2 linked regions of the Diceros bicornis minor genome follow. Each later gene encodes a partner of the first gene's protein in a complex. Links are inferred from orthologs where the notes say so. Each region holds a gene or a part of one and is shown in the gene's direction. Other genes may lie near its edges.

What was found.
Region 2: the proteins of GRM5 (region 1) and HOMER1 are in contact, whole or in part, in a crystal structure (PDB 1DDV), measured with the Rattus norvegicus proteins. The link is inferred for Diceros bicornis minor from reciprocal best matches to the Homo sapiens genes GRM5 and HOMER1. Residues at the interface, in XP_006229721.1 of Rattus norvegicus: Thr1155, Pro1156, Pro1157, Phe1160; in NP_113895.1 of Rattus norvegicus: His12, Phe14, Trp24, Thr70, Ser71, Gln72, Lys73, Phe74, Gly89, Phe90.

Annotation. Positions count from the first base shown.
Region 1 is NC_080746.1:44,041,809-44,051,965, forward strand, and holds the start of GRM5 (metabotropic glutamate receptor 5), read left to right. Parts: upstream 1-6,119; 5' UTR 6,120-6,216; intron 6,217-10,157. UniProt on the Homo sapiens protein: G-protein coupled receptor for glutamate. Ligand binding causes a conformation change that triggers signaling via guanine nucleotide-binding proteins (G proteins) and modulates the activity of down-stream effectors.
Region 2 is NC_080740.1:8,250,624-8,261,028, reverse strand, and holds the start of HOMER1 (homer protein homolog 1), read left to right. Parts: upstream 1-5,771; 5' UTR 5,772-6,564; coding exon 6,565-6,569; intron 6,570-10,405. UniProt on the Homo sapiens protein: Postsynaptic density scaffolding protein. Binds and cross-links cytoplasmic regions of GRM1, GRM5, ITPR1, DNM3, RYR1, RYR2, SHANK1 and SHANK3.

The DNA of each region.
Region 1 (10,157 bases):
ATTACATGCTTATGATATTTCTTGGCATATGTTTTTTGGTCATGAAGAGGATGGAATGCTGATGGTATGAATATTGAGGTTTTTTTTTTCCACAGCTTTTAATACACGGTCAGAAGAAAGGTATTCTTATTAATCTCATAAATATTTCCTCCCTATCCTTTTCTACTCAAAATAAGCAGGATATCCAGTGAGACTCATCAATGTTTCTCTCCTAGATTCCCAGAGTGATACCACTAGGAAAAAATATCATAGGCCTGTGACCATCTGGTCAAATACAAACTAAATTTGTTAAACTTCAACTGGACCTTCACTTCTACTATTTGCCTTTCCTACAAAGGATGCTCCAAAACGTTTTTTACACACTTGCTTCCTGTTGGCAGATAACCTGATGTTTTACTTTAGCTAGAAAATTCCACTTTTTTCAGAGGAAGGAGACTTTAACCCCTCCTCCCATTCTTCGATTTCTCTTGCAACTTGCTCTTTTGCTCTTTTGCATCTCTTCCCAAGCCCTGCCCCCATCCCCATATCACAATCCACACCAGTTTTGCCTTCTGCCCTGAAGTTAATCAAGTCTTCCCTTCACAGAAAGACCTTCTCTTGATTCTTTCAGGATTGCTTTTCCTTGCCTTCATTTCACAGCCCAATTCCCGCTTACTTTTACCCTCTCATCTGACTACAGTTCCCTGATAGTAGGAAACACATCTCTCCCAGGTCAGCAGTAGATTCCTGGTGGCTGCAATAGTGAATTTTTCTTAGTTTTCATTCTTGGACATCTCTCTGCATACCGGTTGTGTTATCTTCCTCCTCTATTTGGAAACTCTCCTCACTTTGGTTTTCTGTGGTTTCCTCCTCCTCTGATCATTCCACCTACTCTTTCACTTGCTTTTCTTCCTCCTATCATCACTTATGTAGAAGTTTCTCAAGGTCCTATTCTCAGCTCTTTCCTTTAATCTATTTATTTTCTCCCTCTGGGAAGATATCTAAACTTTTATAGTTTTAAGTACATATTCTTAAAAAAAATATTTCCAAATCTATATCTTCTAAATTGCTGCTTCCTCTATTTTAGCTTCCCAAGCAAAAAAATCTGGGAGGTATTTACAAAAATTTCCACTTTCTCATTCTCCTTATTTAAACCAATAAACATTGAAGGGGAGCAGAATTTGCCACCCTAAAATATACCTCTTTGGCATAAGAATAATCTTGAGCTGATTACTTTTTTTTTTTTTTTTTTTTGGTGAGGAGATCAGCCCTATGCTAACATCTGCCAATCCTTCTCTTTTTTTTGCTGAGGAAGACTGGCCCTGGGCTAACTTCTGTGCCCATCTTCCTCCACTTTATATGGGACGCCACCACAGCATGGCTTGCCAAGCAGTGCGTCGGTGCCCGCCAGAGATCTGAACCGGTGAACCCGGGGCCGCCACAGCGGAGCATGTGCACATAACCGCTTGGGCCACCTGGCCTGCCCTTTGAGCTGGTTACTTTTTAAGAAACAGTAGACATAGGAAAAGTTCTGAAAACCAAGAAGTTATCCTACTGTAAAAGACATTTCCATGTGGACTGCCAGAGAGACTAACGAGTGGGTCTTAGTGCAAATTAAGCCTAAATTATTGCTGGAGGCAAAAATGATAACACTGAGGCTGTCCTACTTTAGGCACATCATGAGAAGGCAAGATTCTTTGGAAAAGACTATAATGCAGGGAAAAGTAGAAGGCAGCAGAAAAAGAGGAAGACCAGATATGAGGTGGATTGACTCCATAAAGGCAGCCAGGGACATGAGTCTACAGAATTTGGGTAGGGCTGTTGAGGACAGGACATTGTGGACATCACTCATTCATAGGGTCGACTTGAGGGCATCTAACGACAAGAATTTACATTTATAAGGAAAATCTCTATTTATAAGGGTGTGTTTCTCTCTGTAATAGGAGTAGGAGGATGGCTAAATCTGTAGAAACTCTTTGTCAATGGAGAAGGCACAGACTTAAATCTACATAATAACCGTATCCTTGTTTACCGTGCTTTTCCTGATAGCCTCACATAACTGGCTGTCCCACCACTCAACATCTTCTTTTGTCTCTAGCTGGAGATGGCATTTAAGGCGGTGGCTTGGGCCATTTCAGAGAGTTACCCGGTTTTCCTGGACCTCTCCCAACAGAGATATACATGTTATTCAACTTTTGTTTGTTTTTCTCCTATTTGTCCATCTTTTATTTCACAGGAATCTCAGCCAAGAATCTACAAGGGTAGAGAGAAAATTATTTTTCCTCACCTACAACATTTAAGAACAAGTCTAACTCAAAAATACTTCTCCTACTTGATTCATTTACTTCATCATGAGTGCACTGCTTCATTTCTCTTTAGAGCTTCATAATCTCTTGTATAGACATTTGAAACAGTTTCCTTGCTGTTCTCCACACCTTCAGCTTCTCTTCCTTGCATCTGTTTCTCTAACTTGCTACAATATTCTTTTTAAACACATGCCTAAATATGTCTCTCTTTTGCCTGTAGAGTTTTTTGCAGTGGCTCTTCATAGTGTGCTCCACTCAACATAAGATCTATTTCTCTTTTGAATTATTATTATCATGTGATAAATAAATACCTGTTTATCTTATCATTTCTCAAATGGGAAAAATGAAACTCAAAAGACGTGAGCCTGAGTTGCTCTGAGATCTGAAAATATGATTATAATCCAGATTTCAATTTCTTGTTTTATCATGCTCTTTAATTATACTTATTCAAACTCAGACAGCTTCTACATAAGTAAACAAACAAACAAACAAACAAAACAAATGCAATTGACATCTGTCATGATAAATGGGTAACCATTAAACAACAGGCAGTAATAATTCAAAGCAAGGGTTGTCAACTTGGCTGGATATTAAAATCACCCAGCGAGTTGTTTTAAGAAATGTTAATACATAAGCTTCACTAGAATCTTGGGACATGGGGCTCTGACCTCAGTATATATCTATATAATTTTTTTTAAGCTCATGTAGGGGAGAGAGAAATATTCCTCTACGCTTCTAGGTTCTTCTGACTGGTCTAAGAATTAAATTGACATGAGACAGAAGAATGGGAGAAAGTCAAACAAATTTAATAACATGTACACAAGGGAGAAACCCAGGAAAACTGAGTAACTGGCCAAAATGGTCAAAGCTACCATTTTAAATACTGTCTTCAGCCAAAGACAAAGGAGGATGTTGGGGTAGTGCTTTGGGACTTCAAAGGGGAGACAGACAATTCACAAGGAGATGTAAAAGCAAATGTTTGGTAAATAAATCTTTGCCATGACGTGCAGAGACAGTGGGACATGGAGACGATGTTGATCAAACAGGCCTTGCTAGATTCCTCCCTGTCTACCAGACCTACTTCATATTATGCTATAGTTATCTATGGTGATAGCTCCTTCCTGAAACAGGCCTTCTATCTTAAATTCTTTTAGGCAGTTAGAGGGGAGGTCAAAGTTTCTTCCTCAGTCTTTTGTTCTTAAAAATAATCAAGCCAAAAAGATACATTTTGGTAGCAAATTTTTTTCCCCTACAATCTCCAGCTGATTATAATCACAGGCAGGGTTGAGAACTCACAGTCTCCCTTGCTACTCAATGATTGATCCTCTGACTGGTAGTGCCATATCTATATTTGTCAAGCCCTCACTCGGAGCATTTCCAAGAGCTATTGAGGCCCAAAGTTGTCAAAGAGGTTCTGCCCTATGTGAAAATCACAAAACTCCTTACCTGATGGGGAGCATTGCACCAATGATGTGGATGGAATTGCCTGGGTCAGAAAGGCCTTGAGATCACATGAACTTGAGCCTTCTATCCTCATCTTCCACATGTCCACTAAAGATATTTTTTCCTAAATCATCTATCAGATTACATCATTCCTCTACTGAAAATTTCTTTATTGGTTTCCCATTGCTAAAGACTAACATCTAGATCCTTAGTGTGACATTTTAAAAGAACCATATGTGAACAAAATGCCTTTTTCACACACACCTGCACACTCACACACACACACTATTCTTCATTTCTCTCTCACTGTCAATTCCAGTAACATAAGACTTTTCTGACTGAATTCTCACTATTTGCCAAATGAGCTATATACTTTATATCTCTAAGTTTTTGCTCTTATTATTTGGAATGCCCTTTTCAACTTGACTGCCTGATAAAAATCCTACTTAACGTTCAAAATGTCTTACAAATGTCACTTCCTTTGCAGAAAATTCTCCAACATTTCTACCTACCAGTCACTTCTTTCTGCTCCTGGCTTCAAACTCATACCTTCCATGACAAAATCCACCTGGAATTATAATGAGTGGTGGGTATAGTGGGAGATATCTTTTTCCCTTCTCCACATTACCATTTGTGCTCTTAGAGAAGAGCACTTCTACAGATCTTTTGTTCTCTGACATTATGATAAGAAGGCAACATCCATCTTCTATGAATCTCTTTACTTGCCCCTGATCATAAGAGAAAGAGCAGTTAATCTTATTCCTGAGGCTCTGACCTATAATGAGCAACATTGTTCTGCTAGCTGTTAGAGTCACTGTAAGTATTAAGAAATATACTCTACCCTTTTCCTTGCACTGCCTCTCTCATAATGAGTAAGAAGATCAATGAAAGACTCTCCTCTGCTTCCTGACTCCATGTGGTAAGAATCCTTGGGTCAGGGTCCTAAGACTGACTTCTAAAGGCAGTTAGTTGTCTATCCCCTACCTCTCTTTCTCTCTCTCTGTCAGCCCCTGTGTGTGTGTGTCTTTATCTCCTCTTTCTCCTTGCCTGTCTGTGTGTGTGTTCTCTTTCACTGTCTGTCTCTGTCTTCCTCTCCTTTCCCTGTAAGTGGTAAGTGTGGTAGGCCTGAATTATTTACAGCTAATGAAGTCAGCTCCTTCCATAGGTGGCTGTTCCAGGCTGTAAATATGGGTGGATTGTAGAAGGAGTCTATTTGACTTATCTCTAGCCCACATTCTTCAGTCTGCTTTACCTTGAGGGGCTAGTACTTTGGGGTTGTTGGGCAGTTGCTTGGCTGATTAAAAGGTCTTCACTTTGATTTTTTTCTTAATTCTAGTCTTTTCATTAGATAGAACCTATGGAAAACCCTCCCTGTTGATCTCTAGCATATTTGTATACTGGAGGATGGTGGTTGCAGGGAGTGCTGGGAAAGAGGATAGCAGCAGCTCTATTGTGGTTACATTGATTCTGATTCTTTGGAAATGTAGAATAAATATGAAAACTTAGGTTTTCAAAAGGGGAGTATTATAAAGAAAACAAGGTTCCATTTAAGTAAGACTCTCCTTGGATGACACCAAGAAAACTAAGATATTGATATTGGAAGACATTTGGACTCGATGTGGGAAAGACACTAAGGGGAAGAAGGCAGCCTCAGTAAGATGTCTTGATGCGACAGTATTGCAAATTTTTAAGTTTTGAAAGAGTATAAGAGCATTTGATATTTTTCACATGATTTATCTCGCCAATTCCCATCTCCCAAAATAGCATCTAGATGTCTTTGCTATGGTCTTTTGTAATGAAAATCTGAACTATACTAAGTCTTAGTTGCTGGAAACAAAATTTTGCTTAGCACAACTTTTTAAAGCACTATGTTTTGTTTTACATTTTTTGGAGAAAAAAAGCATGTGTAGCTGTAGAGCTGATTGTGTGGTATTTTTCTGAGTCTTATTGACTCTTTGAACTCTTTATAAAAGTGGAACTTCCAAGAGTCTTAGAGTAGAATTAACATAACTCTGAAGATGCTATATGAATCACAGCTAAGCAGAGGAATCCAGATGTTATATGAGAGAAATTCTTTGAGCTGAGACTGAGCGTATTACAATAGTAAGTAGTTAAAAACTTCTGATTTGAATTTCTTTAGACTATGAGGAATGGGTGATTTCATTTTTTGGACTTAAATTTTCTTACTACGAGGAGGGAACTAATATTATTTAAACATGGATTTTTTTATATTATAAAAACTCTATTTTTGTGAGTAATCTTATGATGACTCACAGCACTCATTGTCCTACAACCCCTGGTGAGACACACGGGTCTACATGATTAAAAAAAACTTAAGATGGGAAATTAAACTGGAATGAAACATAATTAATATCCTTTCTTTAACCTTTTAGATTCATCTGAACATAAACACTAAACTACCCATGTCCTGTCCTAGGAGAATAGAAAGGATCAATGGCAGTAGAGATTAAGGAGCAACATGATAAAGGTGAGTGCCGAAGAACCATGATTTGTTGCTAGTCTTTTCCTCAATGGGCTTATAAATACCCTTGATTGACATCCCTATTGGGCTGAAAGAACAAAAATCTGAAGAATGTCAAAGGAAACCTCCTTTTTTGTGATATTCTCACTTTAGCCCTTCTGGAGAAGTGCTGTAAGGGAATTTCTGTCTTACTACCCCACATTTCCCCCTGTACATTCTTCCCTGTATGAATAAGAACAAGTAATTGGACTGGTGAGAATTTTGTCTTCCAATAGACCATATTTCCTCTACAAGTTCGTGTTCTGTATTCAAACTCACTGCTCACAGAAGACATATTCTCTTGTTTGGACTATGTTTGCTCTCAAGCACAGTGGGTGCTCATATTCTCTTGTCTTCTCAAATATGCATTGCTTCCATGCAATAAACACACCATCAGACAAGGACAGATACATCCCCTGACTATACTACCTTCTCCTTAAAATTTGGCCTGCCATTTTTGAGCTCTCCATTTTGCAGGCAATTTGGTGCATGAGCAGGTACCTGACAAAGTGGATAAAGCTTGTGCTACAGATCTCAGATCCCCATCACGTATGCCCCAAGTTTTAGATTCAAGGAAGCAGTGAGATGGTCCATTATAATACCAGTTTAAACATATACTCTCTAATCCAGTAATCCAGAAATCCTACATTTGAGGATAATTGAGCATTAACTTTTCCGGTAATAAATATTGTTTGATCTCCTTTTAGATTGCTTTTGTGTTTATTGTTCCTATTATTTGGAACTTGGATGAGAGGAAGGCTGAAGACAGGCTCTTGCTGTTCCCTCTGAAATGCTTGTGTCCTAGATATTTACTAGGCTTATTCCTTTTCTTCATTCTGTTCTCTGTTCAAATATCCCTTTTTCAGAATATCTTCATCTGAAAATCTTCTCTAAATTCATGTTTGTCTCTCTCTGGCACCTTCTATTGTTCTAATTTTTCTCACAGCATTTATCAACTACTTGATATTATATTTTACATTTATTTTCCTGTCTTCCTTTTTAGAATATAAAATTCCAGGAATTTAGGATCTTGCATTCATAGCTGTATCTACAATAGCTAAACAAAAGCATGGCACATAGAAAATATCTTGTACATTTTTGTCAACTGAATAATAAAAAGATTAATCTTTTGATGATGTATCTGATACATCATCAATACTCATTTACTGTGTTGAATCTAAATGCAAAATTGCAATGCTTTCATCCGTTTCAGGGACTCTGCAACTAGAGGAGATTTAAAAAACAGTGTCTCCAAGCTTCACCCAGGATCAAGCTATCACCAATAGCTTGTCCCATCACTGTTTTATCTGCCGTCTTTTCTCAGGGTTTCTAATTCCTATTCTCAAATTTTGCTTCTGGCTTTGACTTTTTCTTTGCTGACTTATTTAGATTCCCCTCTCTGCTTTAGTGATCTTCCCTTTTCCATCACCCAACTGACTCTCATCTCTGGCTACTCCCTTGATTTTGTTATCATCCATAATTACAGCCACCCACACTCACCGTGTCTTCTGCTCTATCCCTTCTCCTGGCTTGCTTTCCCCAGGAGGGGACTGAACACACATTGTTACAATATAATTATAAAAGTATTGAATTTGAGTCCCTTTCTCCCCACAACTGCCTAAAAGGGAGTCATGATCAACGCGAAAAACCCAACTTCTTCAAGCTTCCTGAGATTAATCTCTAGAATCAAACATGAGCTATGTTTTGAACTGGGAACAAACAAGCTGGGAGCCCAGACTGAAAATTCGTGTTGCTCACTCTTGGAGAATTCAGAGTACTTGAGCTTTCTGGACAGCTAGTGTATCTGGCCCACCAGGGATCCATTTGTGAGATGCATTAAGGAACTTTATGGAAAAGAACTAAATCGAAAAGCATAGAAGCAATCTGACAAGCTAAGTTCATGGACAGTAAGGAGGATAGTTATTAGCATGAGAATATGATTCTCTCCAAGGCAACATAAGTAACTTAAAGTCAAATATGGATTGACCGAATAAAGTATTAAATATGCCTGTTCTCAAAAGCCGTTGGCCATGGCAACATGGTCCTTGGCCTTCTCTCCTCTCTCTTCTCCTCTGTTCTTTTCCTCTAGTCCCAGATTTCTGTTCAGTTCTAATGTAGGGCAACTTAGCTGTCTTTTTTGTCACCTTGTCACTTACTTTCTCCTCATGACTTCGGCGTCTCAACTTCCCAGCCAAGTGATTTTTCAAAATGTTTTCCTAAAGTATAATTCACTCCTTAAGAGGAAATATGTTGTGAGTTGTGTTAAGATCATAGTTCTTTTTCACCCTGAAGAACAAGTCTCTCAAGTTTTTATGCTGTGTATGCTCTAGAATACCAGACATGCTGAATAGTCACTGCAGGGGCCTCATCAGTATCACTTCAGGCTGACATGGCCGGGTAGAATGGATTACACAAGTATGTTATGGCAGCTATTGATTGCTGTCTATTTGCTCCAACTGAAAGGATGTCAGTGGTAAATGCTATTTAAAATCACTGCTGGATGTGTGTAATTTGCTTATTATAATTGTTCATGGCAACATTAGTTCCAATTCAATAATTCATTTCAGTGTCTGAACGTTTCTAGCCTTGATTAATTGGCCAACTTTGTATACTCACGTTGTGGCATTTTCCTTAAATTTTGTTGTACACTTAACTCTATAAAAATATTATATATATAACATTATGTATAATATTGTATTGTAAGTAATTACTGATGGAAGTATCTCTAACTTTCAAACTTGCAGGAGATTCATATGTATATTTATACATATAAATAAATATATATAGCCATCAGATTATAGTTCTAGAAATGATTTACAATACAATTCATACTCTAAGTCAATTCAGACCCATGATCTATTTAACATCTTTGTGTGTAGTTCTCAACTCAAACCTAATTAATTAAATATGTGTGTGTGTGTATATGTATGTATATTACAATTTCTTTTCAGGTAGTATATGTTACATAATATAGTACATTACATATCTTATCTTATTATATGATAGTTTACTTTGAAACATGTATAATCTATAATATACCTTACATAAATCAACATTCGCCATAAGGGCACATTTTTTTCAGAAGTAATGCTAAATATTTTAAAGGTTTATGTCATTCTCATCAATTTTCACTTTTTATTTATCATCTGGCTCTGGGTCTTAGGTTGAGTCCTTTTGACTGGTTTGACTTTAATCTTTGGTTTATGAAAGAATTGTAGAATTTCAGAGCTGGAAGGCCTCCCTGAACATCAAAGAACTTGAGCTGCTTATCTTCGAAGGAGTCAGATATTCTGACTTGGCCACAGGCTCTGTTCACCCAGCCTGGGTTGTCTGACCTAATCACGGGGAAGGTTTTAATTCTTTTTTGCCCCACTGCCCTCAGAGAACTGTTACTTTCTCTATACTCTGCAGTAAGAAAACAGAAAGAAAAGGAAGAGAAGTGGAATGCAAATTCTCATGTGTCTAAGCTGTGATGTCAAGCTCCTATTTTCTCTACCCAGTTGCCTTTGCTTTGATGAATTTTAGCAGGTCATTCCTAGCCACAGCTCAGAATTCCTATGCAGCTTGGTCTTTAGAGCAGCAATATAATGGAAGGATGGGCCAAAGTGGTCTTAAATCTGCATGTGCATAGAGTGCACACTGCTTCTATCTAGATTATACAGTTCAAATAAAGAAGAAGAGTAAGCACACTTTCTAAAAATGACTTTTTTCAGTTATACATAAGGTTGATAAAATGTCAATTGTCTTTATAAATTAGTATTGGGCATGATGACTTGGGTGGTTTTGGAGATTATTTCACGGTGGCTGCTAAAGCCCTCTACAAACTATTTCTTGGCAGCACCACTAACCAAGAAATTTGGCTTATTTATTTGAAAATAGTATAAGTTTTATACACCACAAATTTTTAT
Region 2 (10,405 bases), on another chromosome or scaffold:
AACAGGCTTAAAGGAGAAAATTCCTCAGTCTCTTTCCCTCCCTTTCTGCTTTGGATGTTCTTTGTGAGAATCTGATGCCTGGAAATGCAATAGTCTTCCAACAATCATGAGACAACAAGCCAGGCTTAAAAGACAACACATGAAGATGGCAAGGTGAAAGGCTGGAAAGAGCCTGCAATCTAAGGACACCTCGGATCTTCCCAGTCAACTGTAGGACCACCTGCCTTCAGACTTCTTATTACGGAAATAAGCAACAAAAAAACAATCTTATAGCTTAATGCACCATTAGGTGGGGTTTCTGTTCCTTGCAGTTGATATAAACTCACACATTAGCAATGGGGGAAGGGGAGGGTGGTAACCAAGGTAAGAAAGGTGGGCGGGGGACCGATCATGAGTGAATGCCTCTTATGCCAAAACATGCAGTGTGGATTTCATTCTAGCAGATGACCCAGTGAATCCAGGCATTTTATAGTGATCTATCTATTTATATCTATATACATATTTATCATGTATATGATCAAATATAATTCATTATTAAAATAATAGAATAGACATTGACTAAAGATATAGTTACCATTTTCATTTTAATTTTTAGAGAAATTACTATTTAGAACCAGATTAAAAGAAATAAAAAGCCTCACAAATAATTCGAGAAATATCTTGGCTGAAACTCCCATATGGTAAGAGTCTTTATTTATTGTCTGACCTCTTATGATTGGGGGAACATTTAACACAATTGCTAGGTATTGATTCTGCCCACTTGAGCAACGCTGGAGTCTTTACCAATTACGTTCTGCTTCAAAGAGTTTCCAATTGCCATCTTAAAGCCCTATCTCTCTTTGAAATAGCCCCAAATTTTTGCCTCAGCTTCGTCTCTTTCAAAAGAAGGCAACTTCCTTTCACAAGCAGGGCTGTCCTAAATACTTTGGGTGTTATTTTTCTCCGAGCTGGCACCAAAAGAACCACAAAATAAGGTAATTCATTTAAAACATTTTCCTCATGGTTGTCCTGTTCCCCCATTCAGGAAAAAGATTACTGGTTACCATGGGAATCGGCTTCCGCAGCATTCCATTCTAGGTAACTGCACAGGTATAGCACAAGCTTTACTCCACGTTCTTTACTGTAGCTCTCTGCAGATCTGCATATTTTTGCAGCCTGTTCTCTGTAACTCCTGTGTGGAACAATCAGCCAACCAATGAAACAACCAAATAAAAGAACAAACAATCTGAAGTTATGCTAGATAATTTTTTCAAAGGCTTTATATCCCCATCTCTTTGGAATATTTAAAAAAATTACATGCATAGTTGTACAATGATTTTCTCGTAGCACCAACTGAAAACTTTCCGATATGTTCTTTCACAAGTCTGGGATATGTTCTTTCACAAGTCTGGGATCTCTATCTCTTTAGAGATATTTAGAATATATGTAATGAATTTACCGTAAAAATCAGAGCAAGAGAGAGTTCTATGAGATTGTTTCCCAGGCGCTCTATATCATACCTTTTCTGAGGATAATTACCTAACTTTCTTCCCTCCACCACTCCCAAACCCTCTGATAAAATAGTGCAGACACTCAGAAGAGTAAAACTGTCCTCAAGCCATCGTGTTGGAGGTGCCAAACACTTCTACTCTCATCCTTGAGACCATTAACTAGCCTGTTTCTGTTCAGAACATTATTGGTGATAACAAAAGACGGTTGTAAACAAGCCAAACACATTTTACTGACATTCAGTATCTGCTGTGTTCTGGAGCAAGTGGGATGCCTTTGGAGAATCAACCGGATAAATTCTGTTTCCCTACAAATCCTTCATTCTTTTCTTATCACTACTTTTAGTCTTGACTGCTTATTTAGTTTCTTCCTAACTGTGTGGCATAAACTAGGAATCTTGATATTTCTATGTATGCAGAGATATCTTTTAACTTATTATTTCTACCTATGACTTTATTTGAAGCAATAGTGGTATTTTGGTAATTAAAAAGAGGGAATTTGAAAGGGAGTTGCTATTATCTAATGTTAAGCAATTAAAAACAAAATCTGGCTTTAACCCTCTTTCCCGCAAAGTTTTTCTATCTCCTGGATGTCTTTTCATTGAAAAAGAGATATCTCATGACCAGTCTATGAACACCCCATTGCCATCTCCTATTAAGGGCACGGAAGTAAACTCTGTAACTAAAACAGATGCCTTCGCCCACAGGTTCTAAAATCAGAGGATATTCATAAACCTCTCCACAAATTTTCACAGTGTAGTGGGAAATAGGAACTGTTAAAAATTTGAAACTCTACTAAAGTACTTTCTGCCTCTTCCGGTAAAAGAAAATATATTACTTTCTAGGAAGCTCACTACTTGAAAAAACATACAAAGCAATCAGGGTTGGAAATTCATGGCTTGCATTTGGGTTACATGAGCTCAATTTTAGAAGAAAAGATATTTACTTTTAGATGGAAAGTCATAGAATGGTTCTCTGACTCCTCTCAAAATTGTATTGGAATTGTTTCAAGAGAAGAGAAAAGGCACTTACTTTATTATTTTTTTTCTGAGCAGATATTCCATGATACATGTTTTATTTATTCCTTTGGGTACATAGACATATGTATTCCCTGATATACTAATCCCACACAAGCTAGAAAGAAAAATTGACCAATTATTGGTAGAATTTTCTAGATTAAGAGTGGAGGCTGAAGTTAAATAATCACATAAACCTTGAGTAATTATATCACAATGCACAATTCAATTTATATAGAAAAAAAGTTGCTCTCAATTTTCAGTCAACAAAAGAGCAGTTGAGAAGAAATCATGTAGCTTTGAAAAGTAGAAACTCTAATGAAGGGTCACCATTCTAAAAGCAGCTGATGTGCTGTTTTGACAGTTGGGTAAAGATGAGGGGGAATAAGACTGTAAACCAGAGGAAGTCTTGATGAAAGGGTAGAATGAAGTGTTTGAAAATGGTAAAGTGAAAGCTTTAATTAACGTGGATGGAAAGAGCAGGAAAGAGAGAAAAGTGATTTAGTTCAGATAGGAAATAGTTTGTAGAGAAATTTTAATAGAGTAATAATTTGTATTTTAATTTGCAAGGGCCAAAGGGATGACATTATTTGAAAAATGACAGTTTTATTGTTTTAATATTTTATACATAAGTAAGAAGCTCCATTCATCTGAAATATAAATCAGTACTATTAATACGATAGTATATGTTAAACAAATTAGCAAGCAGGGGTTTGCTTTTGATTAACTTTTGTTATAACCTTTAAAAAAACTACTTTCAATATTTCAAATTACAAGCAAGATCATGATTTTATAATGTGAAGATAACCAAAAAGCCTGATTTAGTTGCAAATCGGTCCTAACTCTTTTGGCTAGTGTCCTTTAATCTTGGACTCCTAACTCAATCAAGAAAATGTAGATGCAGAAAGTTGAAAAACCAAATTTTTTTTTAACCACAAATGGTATAAATTCGGTGGAGTTCTAGCTTCTTTTATTTAAACTGTTCTGATATCCATTTATAGCTCTCCTAACAATCATTTTATAGATTGGTAATCCTATGTCCTGGATTTTCCAGGTCACTTCAGATTTCATGTATTTGGTTTCTTGTCAAATGATGTGTCCGGATTTTGGTTTGGAAAACGTGGTCCCTGAATTTATAGACTAACTGTGAAACAGCGATGGCCTTTGGCATTATGTAATAATCGTATTTCTGGGTCATGATTATCAAATTAAATCAAATCAAAGCTCATTATTTGAGTCTACCTAATAATAAACTATCAAAATAATGACATTTTAAAACTTTGTAGAAATTTGCAATTTGAAAAGCATTCATAATATGATTTATTATAGACACAAACACACACACACGGCTAATAAACCTATAAAAGGCTACTCACCCTTGCCATATAGGAAATGAAAAACAACATACTTCAGAGATACAGTAATTACATATTACATGGTCAAAGCCAAGGAAGACAAAAACAATCTAAATGTGCTTGTGTTAATATTATAAAAAGGATTTGGTGGTCTTTCTTATTTTTAATTTCCATAGACTGGAACTCATATTCTCTATAAACCTGAACTGAGAGGATATATACTGGCATTTGCTATGCGTGTAACAATAACCACGAGTGAACTTTCTAAGATTGACTTATCCTATGCCAAAACATTGCTGTTTTGCAAATGAAAACATTTAGATGATTTGATGCCCCCCTTAATTACTATTCTTTATAACATTACAACATTTGTTCATGGCTCCGCTCTTTATCCTTCCGTGATTTAGGTAACCACTAAGCAGAAAAAAAAAAAAAGTTTTAAAATCGACTGCGTCCGGAATGGCATTTAATGTCTTTCGAAAATTAAGGTGATTTTCCCCAAGTCTTGTTGGAAACCTATCTACCACTAGTGAGCAGGCTCTCCTCCCACATTTCCGTGCGAGTTGGGACTTGAGAAGCCCGCGGATGCTGCTGCAACAGAGGTGGGAGTGGAAGATTCGATGTCACCCGCTTGACACTTCAGCAGTGTTGCTATGAATGATTCACTTGTGTTTGGCACATTTGTTGCAAGGAAATCTCCTCCTCCCGCCGCTTCCTTCGCCGAGCTCCTCTCGGGCTGTCTCCTGTGCTTTGGCCTTTAAGCTGAAGCGAGAGCAGGTGGGCACAGAGCAGCTCGCGGACTCCTCCTCCCCCTGCTCCTTCCCTAATTTAGCAGTACTTCCGGCCGCGTGACATCATCCCCCGCACCCCGGTGACGTGAGCGGCGGGTGACGTGTGTGCGGAGAGAAGCGCGCTGACGTTGCTATTTAAAGGTCCTCCTGCGGGGAGGATGGAGACACAGCGCGAGCACCTGGTGTGGGGTGTGGAGGAGGCAGTGGCGGCCGGGAGCGGGGCCAGAAGCCAGCGGAAGAGCAGAGCGCGCGGGCCGCCCGCCGCCGGCCGCTAGGGGAGGGGGGAAGGAAGGAAAGAAGGACGGACGGACTGACGGACCTGCCGGCCGGACTTGCTCCCCTCGAGGGCCGGCTGGGCCGCTGACCACCAGCCTTCCCGCCGCCCGCGCGGCTGCCGCTCCCTCCCGCTGCCCGCAGAGCCCCGCCGGGCATTCGGGACGGGTCGGCGCGCCAGCCCCCGGCGCCCGGCCGCGGCTCCGCGGGGCCGGCCGTCTCCCGCCCCCTCCCGCGAGCAGGGGGAGGGCCCGCCCCCCGCTCTCCCCGCCCCCTGCCCGCCCGGCGGCCGCGCTCGCCTCCCGCGGGCGGCGCTGACTGGGAAGTGGCGCGCTCCGCTCCGCGAGCGGCCGGTGGAGGCGGAGGCAGCGGCGGCTCCAGGCCGCCTGGGCCGGCGCTGCTCTGCCGAGCGGGAGCCGGAGGCCGGGGGAGGCGGGCGGTGAGGGAAGTGTGAGGCGGCGGCGGGGCCCGGGGACTGTGGCGGCGGCGCGGAGCGGGAGAGGCGAGGAGCAGGGTGGGGGCGCTGGAGTAGCGGCTCTCCCGCGGCTTCGAGCCCCGCGCCCCTGCCTTCGACGCGAGAGTAGCCGCCCGCCTCAGCTCGGGCGGGCGCCCGTCGACCTTCCCGCCCCGTCCTCCGCCGCGGCTCGGCCCGCCCCGGAGCTGGGGGCCGGCGGCGGCGCGCGGCTCGGCTCTGTGACTCATTCATTCCCCGCCGACGGGAGCCTCGGACCTGCGGTGCTCCGAAGAGAGGAGGGGAGAGGGGCCGCGGCGAATGAAGGGCCGGGCGCGAGCCAGGCTCCATTGTGCTGGGCGGCGGGGGGCGGGCAGGGGCTGAGGGAGGGGGATCGCGCCCCCGCCCCCCGCTCCCCGGCGTGCGCGGCGCCCCCAGCCTGCTGCCAGCCTGGAAATGGCTCCGTCTATTCTCCTCGGGAGAATGAAGCGATCCTGCCCAGCCTGCTCTTCCTCCTCCCCACCGCCTCTCTGCTCCGAGTCTTAGAAGGGGAGACGTTTCACAGACAGACTCCAATGTGGAGTGCCGTGCACGTCGCGAGCTGCAGGGTTTGCACTTCGAGGAGATTTTTCTACATCGCTTTTTCTAATGTGAGCGCAGGGAAGCAGTGGCATTACTGCTTTTAGGATTTTTATTTTCTCCTAGGGCTCTCTAAAGTGCACGTCGCATTGGGTTGCACGCTCCACCCCCAGGGACCTGGGGTGGGAGAGAAATCTGAACCCGCAGCCTTAGTAGCACCGAAAAGGCCGAGTTACCTGCTTCTCTCTGAGTGTCGAGGAGGACATGAGCGAAATGACCACCGAACTCATTTTTTATAGGACTCGGTGAAGCTGGATTCTGCGCTTTACGACACAGACTCATTTTGTGGAATAGAGTTGACCGCTGTCTCCTCCGCGCAGCATTTTAACTCCAATAAGCAAATGCCCCCTCTGTTTGAACGTTTTGGTATTTACGAGGGAGAAATCATTTTACCTAAGGGAACTAATTGAATTGTCAGCATCACTGAAATACCTCCAGAAAAGGATCTCGGGGGGTGGAAAAGCGACTGCGAAATAGCAGACGGAGAAATTCCTTTGGAAGTTATTCCGAGCATAAGAGCAGAAACTTCAGAGCAAGTTTTCACTGGGCAAAATGGGGTAAGGATTTTTGTGTTTAACACAGCTTCGAATCTGCTTATGTATGTGTGTTATTGAGCGGTGGTGGCGATTGTCTGGGTTTTGTGTTTTCAAGCAAATTCCACCTTGCTAAGCTGGTCGTACTTGAAAAATATAGGTGTGTTAGCATTTTAACAAGTTATTTTTGTAGAGTGACGCCGGAAGTCATAATGAAGGAACATACGTATATCGTTTGTAACCAGAATATAGTTTTATTAGTAATGTGTAAGAAGACAACACAGTCTGCACTTTACTGGTTACACTGCCGCATTAGTTTGTACTCGAAATCGTGTTTTAGGTTTTGTTGCTGATATCTTTCAAAGAGAAGTACTGCGTTCTCTCAGTACTTTGAGAAGAATCAGTTGCACAGAGGAACAATTGTACAGTAATGGGTGGTTAGACTACAGCCCTTGAAAATGATCCAATGTAAATTGTTGCCCTTACGGTGCCCTCTATTTTGCCCTTGAATACCCAAAGCTAAAATGTGTAGAAGTGATTTATTGGAGCATTAAAACGAAAATCTGAAAGTCTTACTGATGTGGTCTGCACATGGCCGATGCACTTGATAGGAGATCAGAGCTTGAATAGGAAACAGCTTTTTGTTGAAGGAACTTGGTCACTTTTTCTGTTTTTTGCTTTTAAGCTCAAGTCTTCAATTTGTGTTAACAATGTCAGATCTACACCTTCTTTCAAATCCAAAGTCAGCCAAGAGTGCATTTTCCAACCTTTTATTAACTCTTCACACAATAACTTAGTCTTCCTAGTTTAAACCAGAAACCCATAATATATTAATGGAGTAATGATCTGGTCATTTCATTGACCGATTGTCAATGCTTTTTGTCGAAGAGGAACTTCCAGAATTTTCTTTTCTCTCTTTTTTTTTTTGTAGTTGAACAAACACATCTAAAGGGACAGGAATTGAAAGGATAGACTCTGAAATTCACTGTGACAGTATAAGGGGTGTGCACACCTAAACTTTCTTTCTGGAAACTTTCAGAGGAAAGTTCTTAGATAGTATTACCTTTTGTGTTGGAGTTAAAATTTGAAGTTTATTAACTTGAACAAATTTGAAAATGTAGATATTGTAGGAGCCCTTGGTCAGGAATTAAGGAGAAAGAGCGATAATTGTTTTTTAAACTTAAATGACAAGTGATGAGAATATATATAACTTGCATAATTTGGGATGCTGCTGAGAGCAGTTAAAATACCTCATTCTATTTCTAGTGCTGCTATTAGTAGCTTGGTGATCTGAGGCAATTACTTAACCTCTGTGGACTCTGTTTTCTTATCTGTAAAATGAAGGAGTTAGGTGAGTTTAACAAAATTTTGTAATCTGTAAAAGTGAATTCTTTTCTTTTTCTCCTCCTTTCTATTTTAATGATTACTAGTTGGTTTGAGGTAAATCTTTCAGATGGAGAGATTGTTTTCTCTAAGCAGTTTTTAAGCACGTAAGCTGGAAAATAATGGCATTTGAAAAATGTTTTGGATGAGTTGCACCAATTTTAATGAGACAGGATACTGAAAAATACTACTATTCAGAATCTTTGAAATATGGCTTCCTTTAAGAATCTGCAGCTCTTCTGTTTAAAACATGTCAGAGCAAAAAAAAAAATGAGGTGGCAGTTTTTCCTGTCGAAGGCTGCATTCTCTCTAGACTGTGGAATAGTAGCATCGTGGAAGAAGATTGGTTTTCCACAACCTTTAAGCTGCATGAATGCCCATCATTTTACCAAGGGAAGCTTGGGATGAACTTAATAACAGGGAGACTGGTGTTTAAAATATGAAAATAAGCTGCCACACGTAGCAGCACATTTTAGATACTTTAGGGTAATTAAATTTGTTTATAAACTAGTATATTTGCCCTTAATAAAGCCATAAAGGTGGACTGGAGAGGAAACGGAGTGTTAAAAACATTATTTTTCTGAAAGTCTATATTTGGGGCTATGACTTTCTCATTGATAGTGACTTGTTTCATCTGAGTTGTCAAGAGAGGATGGGTAGGTGGAACTAGAAGAGAAGGGCATGCAGAGAAGGCATTTGTGGAAGTTTCCACACTGGGTGGGTGTTTATGCCTAATAAATGTTTGCAGAATAAGCATAGCCTCCTGCACCCAGTTTTACCCAGGCAGTCCTAAATTACCTTATTCTGACGAGTATCTAAAATTTAATATTGTGGGTGAAGTGTTTCACATGTCATTAATATATTTTTGACTGTTAGGTTATAATAAGAACTTATCTTTGCCTTAATTATGGATGTAATTGCAAGTCTAGGGAGAACATTTAAGCAAAAGGAATTATTTCTAAAGAAAATGAGTGATTAGGCAGAAGACAAATTTATGGCTCCTGTAATACTAGTTTATGAAGTATTGTGGAAACGGAAAAGAACAGCTGAAACTGACAGTTGGCAGAGTCTGTTAGGATCTTGGATGCTGCCTGAACTGTTTAAATCAGTGAAGGCAGTTGAAGTATTGGTTTGTGAAATAGGTGTATCAGACCCCGTACAAATCAGAGCATTCATGTTTGTAAGGTAAAGTAAGATAAAGAAGCTTCAAAGCCACAGCAAGGAGCCCGTTAGGTATGACGCCCAGTCCTCCACGTAGTATCTCGTAATGAGAGCAGTGAGTCAGTAGCTATTTCAGAACTATGAGAGCAGGCAACAGAAAGCAAGTAACTTCCACTGTTATCTCATGCTACCTTTTGTTTTGCTTAGCTCATATTGGCAACTTAGTGCCATCAACAGGGGAATAGATAATCTTCCCCCCCTCATTAAAAGTTAGTTCTAAAATGTGATTCTCCCTGCAAATGAGGTTTGATAATGCTGTTTCTGATTTATCTCACCTGCCTGTGGGGACCTCTGGAAACCCACTTTGCCTTTCCCCAGATAACTTCCTGAAGCGTGGAAGTGGGTGCTGCTGCATTGCACCCTGTATTGAGTCCCTTTGTTGCTGAAAGAGAAAATTGACACCTCTTTCTGCATCAGGCTACCTGGGGCTGTAGCAGAAATGTGGAAATCTTGATCCAGCACTACAATATGAACAGGCTTTGTTGTGAAGGCAACCACCTAATCATTTCCAACATTAGAGAAGTTAGATGCAAGTCCTTAATTCTTTGTTCATTTTACCAATTTTGAACCCCTATCATGTGGCAAGTACAGCAGCTTAATGCTGCTGATACAGGGACTAGTAAGATGTGCTCCTTCCCTCAGGGAGTTGATAGTTTAGAAGTTGGGAAGACAGTCAAGCCTGAAATTAAAAAGTACAGTGAAATGTCTAAGGGCTGTAATGTAGCGCAGCCTAGAGGTACAAAGTGTGTATGTGTGTGTGTAGCATTAGCTGCTGAGGGAAGGATAAAAACGCTTTTGTGGAGGAGGTGATAGGTATTAAATAATGGAAGATGAGTACAGGTGGGCCTTGTAGACAAGTGAGCAGGGATTCAAGACCCAGGGAACGGTGTGATTGACAGCACTAAGACAAGGAACTGCAAAAAAGTTTGGCATGACGGACTTGTCTCTAAGGGGTGTAGCAAGAGAGAGCTGTAGAGCCTTATACAGGGGCCGGATTAGAGGGCCTTGTGGACCAAGGAAAAGCTGGTGTATTTCAAGCTTTTTTTTGGCAATGGCCCATTGTAGTAAGATACACATTTTTACCTCACAACCTAGTGCACACACATGTAAATGATAAAATGTCACAAAATAATACCCTTTGTGTGATCCACTCTGGTATTTTCTATTCTGTTTTGTTCTATTTTTAAGAAAGAATGATGTTTGGGACCCAATAAATTGATTTAACAACCTAGTAGTAGCAACTGGCAATTTGAGAA